2 linked regions of the Oryzias latipes genome follow. The protein of the gene in region 2 purifies or fractionates together with the protein of the main gene of each other region. This does not show direct contact. Links are inferred from orthologs where the notes say so. Each region holds a gene or a part of one and is shown on either strand. Other genes may lie near its edges.

Evidence for each region. The genes of interacting proteins can lie anywhere in the genome.
Region 1: the proteins of arid4b (region 2) and suds3 purify together in Homo sapiens (affinity purification with western blotting; 3 studies listed by BioGRID, with this or other methods). This does not show direct contact. The link is inferred for Oryzias latipes from reciprocal best matches to the Homo sapiens genes ARID4B and SUDS3.

The regions. Positions count from the first base shown.
Region 1 is NC_019867.2:3,527,249-3,531,224, forward strand, and holds the start of suds3 (sin3 histone deacetylase corepressor complex component SDS3), read left to right. Parts: upstream 1-1,174; 5' UTR 1,175-1,528; coding exon 1,529-1,640; intron 1,641-2,244; exon of another isoform or gene 2,245-2,341; coding exon of another isoform or gene 2,342-2,357; intron 2,358-3,034; coding exon 3,035-3,104; intron 3,105-3,190; coding exon 3,191-3,246; intron 3,247-3,976.
Region 2 is NC_019873.2:28,207,890-28,210,719, forward strand, and holds the end of arid4b (AT-rich interactive domain-containing protein 4B), read right to left. Parts: intron 2,588-2,830; coding exon 2,441-2,587; intron 2,353-2,440; coding exon 2,198-2,352; 3' UTR 502-2,197; downstream 1-501. UniProt on the Homo sapiens protein: Acts as a transcriptional repressor. May function in the assembly and/or enzymatic activity of the Sin3A corepressor complex or in mediating interactions between the complex and other regulatory complexes.

The DNA.
Region 1 (3,976 bases), on a different chromosome or scaffold from region 2:
CAGCCGGAATTCCCCCAACGCCACACGGGAACCGGCAGGGAACAACCGCCGCCCGGGCGACCAAGCCCGCCACCCAGGCCAGGGCCAGCAGGGCCGCCGCAAGGCCCCCAGAGCCAGAGGCCAGGGAAGCACGGAGGGAAAGAGAGCGCCGCCCCAGCCCAACCAGGAGAGCATCCTGGTTGGGCTGGGCATGAATCCTTCTTCAGACTAAATTGGAACATTGTAAATTATAGACAGACAGACAGACAAAAAAGGTTTGAGATATAAAACAATGTTGTTGTTTTTTTAATTTGTCAGGTTTAAAAGACATTACAGAGCAGAAAAAAAATATTCAAACAAAAAATGTGATTATGGGGATTATTTAAATGAGTGCAAGGATGCAGATTTGCTTTGATGTGACATTTTTTATTTCAGTGAAACGCCACTGTTGTTTATCCAGAAAGACAGTTCTTCTTGAGTCACATTTGTCCTAAAGTTCTGTGGATAATCCAAATGTTCCTGTTGCTCACAGTGTGATTCTCCTTGAACTCTCCTATGGATCCATGTTTGTCCAAAAGTCTCTGTCTGGCCGTTAAATCATGGGTTCTAACCTGAACTGAGTCAATCGAGGGTCTGATCTTCTTTCCATCTTCTTATTCTGCTTCTTTTATGATTTTCTGTATGATTCTTCATCCAAACTGGTCACTTCTGGGAAATTGATAATGGCTCTTTCTAGGGAACTTAGGAGTATTAAATTATATCTTTATCCATTAAATTTATAACTGGGAGTATCACATAACTGTGCTAATTGGACCTGATGTGTCTGGAGACAAGTAGATGTTTGGCAATAAAAAAGTGGTTTATTATAAAATTAATTTGAAGAATTATGTGTGGAGACTTAAGGCTCATGTGTTTTTGCTTATTTTATTAAATAATTAACTAATTTTTATTAAAATTAGCCATAACCACAGCTTATAGATTTACAAAAAGACTTTAAGGTTCTCTTGTCCTTTTTTATTTCTTCATGCAGCAAAAAAGACAGTTGTCTCTTGAAAGCCTATGGAGTCCATCATCCTGTGGTATTCACACTATAACCAGATTTTTCCAGGTTCATCAGTTTACTCCCAATGTCAGATAACGGCTACCAAATTACCCAATTAACATGATCAATTGAATAATTTCATAACCCAGAACACACAAACCCCACACAAAAAGAAGTAAATAAATAAACGGCCATTGACAGCACCAAATACTGTATCGAATCTCTTGCAATTGCCTGTTTTTTCCTTTTTTTCCATTGCAGATACAAAATTAAAGCGGATGTGTTTATTCTCCAAGGTGAATAAAACTAATTATATGTTCGTCCTTCTAGTTAAATAAAATACAATAAAGTATATTTTGTGCAATTTTTAAACGGAATACTCGTCAGGCACAAGCTTGGACAGCTTAGCGCTTGGGGGTCCTCGCAGTTGTAGGCGCAGTTTCAAGCGAGCAGCAAAACACCGAGCGATTGTTTATTTTGTTTTGTTTACATCCTCCAAATAAATAAATGGCGTCCACTTTAATATCGCCCGTGGTGGATTATTACAACGACGAGGAGGAGCTCGACAGCGTGGATGACGACGATGATCGGAGCTTCAGGGGCAGAGACTCCGAAGAAGGTAACGTTAAATCAGTAGAACCTTTCTCTGTGGTTCGCGGGCTCCGTCTATTTATTGGAGAAGAAACGGAAATGCGCGGCCATTGCACATGTTTCGCTTGTTGTTCGTTGAAACAGCACCTACAGTTAAGTTAAGTTTGGGATTTGAAAATATATATTTTGGGTAAACATGTGAGGTTTGATTATTGAGCGTGAAAGTGGTAGAGTTTGTACTGCCTAGGCTTAGCTTCAAGCTAACATTTGGTTCCCGAATTGTTTTTTTTAAACAAAGGAAGGAAAACAAATAAAAATAATTGAGTAAAGTGACTTTATTAAAACAAATATATCAAATAATTAGCCACTAATAAATAATTAGAATGAGTCCCTTTTCTATCGCTATTTCCTAAAGGGTTGCCTTTTGTGGTGCATGAATGTTTATGCTCAAATGTCACATTTCTGCTCGAAAAAATTGGAATCGTCTAATAAAAGGGTTTAAGTGAGTGATTTGCAGAGTAAGTCACAGGAGTACCTCCCTCCCCTGCAGTTAGTTACCGCAGGATTTCAGTGCAATTCCCCGCAGCGTCCGTCCGCAGCGTTAATCAGCCGCCCTCCTACGTAACTTTAGCTCTGAGCGTTGACAGGTCGGCCTGCCTGCCGTGTCCACCGTTCTGCCCTTTCACACTCCGGTCAGGCGATCGCAGCGGAACCCGGCGCATCGAGGCGATGACAGCCCTGCCAGGTCTGCTTGTTTGGTGCTCCTGACCTCCAGAAGAACTGCGTAGCGTAGCTTTTATCTCCCCTTCTCTCCGCGCGCGCGCGTGTGTGCTGACGGTCCCGATCGCTCCGATCTCCTTGGAACAACTGTTGGAGCTAACTTTAGCTAGCCCTCAAAGCTAACTGAAACCGAAAGCGCTGCGTCAGCTTACGTGGGCCTCTCTGTCCGTGTCTTTTTCCCACGGGTTCACGAAGAAAACGGCACGTTTGTGAAGTCGATCGCGTCATCGTTGTGCTTCTGGGGGGGTAGAAACGTCCCGGCATCGCTCCGAGGGGGGTAGCCGCTGCTGGACCTGACAGACAGACAGCGGGAGCGCGGAGGATCAAAGCCCAGCAGCATGCGGCAAATGTTTGACTTTCACGCGGACATCTGCACCGTCATTCCTCCGCCTCGAACTTTAACTTTGTCCCTTTTGAGTTGAACTGACGTGAGGCTTAAAAACAAACGTGGATCTGACCTGGGGGGCATTCAGTATGACCTCACCGGAGCCCCCCAGGCTGGTCTGCAATAAGACCTGTGCTGTCTGTCTGTCTGTCTTTCCTTCCGGGGAGGGAGCCGCTGACATGATCAGATGGGTTTAAGTGAGTTCAAACTTCAACTCAGTCTCTTTGTCCCCCCCCCCCCCCCCCCCCCCCTCAAAGACACAGAAGATGCCAGTGAGACGGACCTGGCCAAGCATGACGAAGATGACTATGTGGAAATCAAAGAGCAGTAAGGGATTTGTGTCTTTGTGTGTACTAGTGTGTGTGTGCGTGGCCTGAGCCGAACCCTTATTTGTGGTTTTGTTTTCCTGACAGAATGTACCAAGACAAGCTGGCCTCGCTGAAGAGACAGCTGCAACAGTTACAAGAAGGTAAAGATGCAGGCCTGCACAGAACGCCATCATTTCAGAGTGCGTCATTAAAACCAAAGTATGTCTGAAGGGGTTTGTTTGTGGTAGGAAAGGTCTGCATGTTTTCCCAGATATCATTGCTCTACTGGTTACCTGGATCACCAGGTGTGTCTAGGATGTGCTGGAGAACAAATCCAGCCCTCAGGTGCCCCCCCTGGTTTTAGATCTGGCTTTTTTCTTAAAGCAAAGATGTGGGTGTAAACCAGAGATCTCCAACCTTTTTCAGGCCACAGATCGGTTTAAAATCAAACGGTATTTTCACGGACGGGGCTGAAGTGGGCCTCTGAGTTCTTTTATTGTTTTTTGCCTCCTGCTTTCTTTAGGTTTTGAGGGTAATGTTCATCTTCATCCTCTGTAAAATATCTGCTTTAAACTTAATTTGAACACTAGATTTCATGTAGGAACGATTAAAATGTGATCTAGAGTTTCCCTGAACCCACAGCCATCAAGGAGGAAGCTTAAAAACTCTGAACTCTTTAAACATTATTAAAAAAAACACTAATCCACTGTTTGAGTAAGTTTATTAGCAGCATCCTCATAACTTGCTGAATATTATTCATTATTATTATGGTCCATATTTGGATTTAAGACTGTTTTTTTCTGATAAATGCAGCTGTCCTTTATTTTGAAGTCCTCTTTTGTTTCTTCTCCGACTCTTTTCTCCCAAAAGAAACTATGAGTATGTTTGTTT
Region 2 (2,830 bases):
TACACAAAGGCGCCAACTTCCGCCGAGATTTTTAAGTATTTTAAGCTTTTTATTTTAAGAATATTTCATTTTTGCACTAAAATATATAGACACAATATATCTTTTTAAATAAATGTTGAATTATTAATAAAGGTTTTAGGCGCTACACTACAGCAAATATAAACAGAAAAAAACGTATTACTATTTTTTTTTAAAATAATTCTTAAGTATGACAAGAGTTTTATTCAGTTAACATCTTTTCAAAAAGACCTAATTGACTTAACTGAATTTTAAAAATATTATAAAACAAGGAAAAATGAATAGTTAAGTGAAGACACATCTTTTCAAAATAAAGGGAAAATTATACTCCTGCACTCGAAAACCTTAGATAAAAATCTACTAAATCTATTTCACAGAAAGTGAATTATTAAGTTTAAAGGTTACATCATAGAACAGAACAGTAGGTTAATGCAGTATAAATTCATTTTTCCCCTTAAATAAAGGTTAAAAGGAACAGACTCATTCACAAACTATGGCATTTATTTTAAATGGAGGCTTCTGCTTTGCTTACATTTTTACAATAAATTACACAATGACCATTATTATCAGATGTGCCTAATAAATACTTATGGAGCAATAATCCAATTGGCTCCATTACTCACTCTTAGCCTATGATGCTGACCATTTTCCACATACTGTTTCATACAGCAATAGCTTCAGGCCACCAAGGGTTGAAAGAGTCCAGCCGCATCTAGAACCACCATTCCTCTCTAAGAAGCTCTATCTAAAAAAAACATAAAAATAAAATAAAAATGAAGAAGCAATCTAAAGGAAATGAGAAATTTAAAAAATAAAAAGGGGAGGGGGATAGAAAAACAAAGAGATGGTGGAGGAAACAAGAGGAAACAAACATGCTGCAACCCTGATTATTTACACTTAAGCTATAGTTAAAACCATAAAACTGTCTGTACAGAAAAGTACATGTTATTAACAGTGCAAGATATTAAATAGCTCGACTCAAAACACTTCTCAATATACAAATGTATAACAAAAGCATACATCTAGGTACAAGTTTGAAACCGAAACGTAACTTTAGGTTAACACACAGCTGGGGGGTTTATGTACAAACACTGGAGAAAGTTTTACACGTACTTCACCTTAGCATAGAAATGCACATTTACAAGATCTCTACCTTAACTATGATCATGTATGGAAATAAAAACAAAACCTTTTTTTTGTGGAGATGAAAATGATGAGGAGCTTTTGGATGATGAGTAGAAGTTGCTTCAGTGGTTTAAAAAGATTTCTTTAAAGGCTCCAAACGTAGCTTTCTTTAGTTGGTCAGCGGTGATTAGGCTAAATTCATACCGGTGACAACATAAAATGATGGAGGGTTTTAAAAGGCTCATGAACCGAAGTGATGTTCTCTCATTGCACATTTCCATCCATCATTCAGTAGTAAATTACAGGTGAAAATCCTCTCGTAGTTCTTACATTTTTACCGTCCGTCGTCCCTTTGCTCACTGCATTCTTCAGTCTTTTTAGAAAAGAGACAAATGGTTCCAGCTGACCCCCTGACCTGACGAGGATCAGGAAAAAGTGCTTCTCTTTTTCTCAAAGTGCCCCCAGGAGAAGTTCAAAAAGGCACTACAGTATCATTCATGCTCATGATGCTATCAGAGCCATCGCCGCCGGACCACGAGTCTGTACTGCTGACGTTGAGCTCACAAAAGCCTTTTTTCACTGTTTTCAATGAGGGTGGGGGAAGAAACATGGCAAAATGATGGTTTGCCCCTTAAAGCCAATGGGGCAGTGGTCCTTAGAAGCCCCTCAACAGCAACACGAGAAGCCCTGTTTGCTTTTAGGGCTGAACATTTTCCTCAAACGGGTTTAGCAAACGGAAAAGATTATTGCTTGCAAAAACAACCCTCGAAATGTTTCCGGGAACGAATGTAAAACCAGTAACTTTTGACAAATTTCATCTCCTTACACAACCGTCAGAAAAGTGCACTTAAGTGCTGATAGCTTGCCATGAAACAGTTGTCAGTAGAAAATAGTGCTTGTTTCTCGTTGTGGTGACTGGTCGGGTTTGGTGCCCCAGCGGTTAGAGTTTACAGGTTGACCCATCCGTCCTGTTGGGACGGAGCGGCGGCGGCGGCGGCGAGCCCAGGATGCTGGTTAAGTGCTCAGTGCGATGGCTCATTGCTGCTCGGTTCTGTCACCTGCACTCCACTGACAACCCAGAGTTCTGAGACGAGGAGGATGAGGATGGAACCGGGGGGTCGGCAAGTGTCAGCATGACGGCCGCTGTTAAGGAGCTAGAGGACGGTGATGAAGAGGAGGAGGAGGAGGAAGAACAAGCAGCCACAGTACCTGCAGAGGAAAAAACAAAGGGATTTTACTGAGCTCTTTGCTCATTTGTTGGAGGCAGATTCATGAAAGCTGGAAGCGATGATCTCACTTTCCCGCTCCTTCTTCTTCATGCGTTTTCGTCTTCTGTCAATGGAGGCCACCTCAGACTTCAGGGACAGGTAGTGGTTCCTGATGTCTTGGAGTTTCTCCTGAAGGAAAGAGATTCTCTCCAGGCTGCTCATCTTCTCCAGATCAGCTGAGCAGAAGGAAAAAAAGAAGGTTTTCAGAAAATCTCTGGTTCGGGAAGACGGAGGAGCAGATCCGCGCTGTTCTGTCCCGTTGAGTATTTTGTTGTTAGTTTGTAATTTGAATTTATGGAGGCCAAGCTGACAGTCAGAAATGATCATGAACTATGACCTTTTGGGATTGGTGCTCAACCATAACTGTGTAATTAAAGATTGAAGGAATATCTGAGGGCAAAGCTTAAAGCTAAACCGTT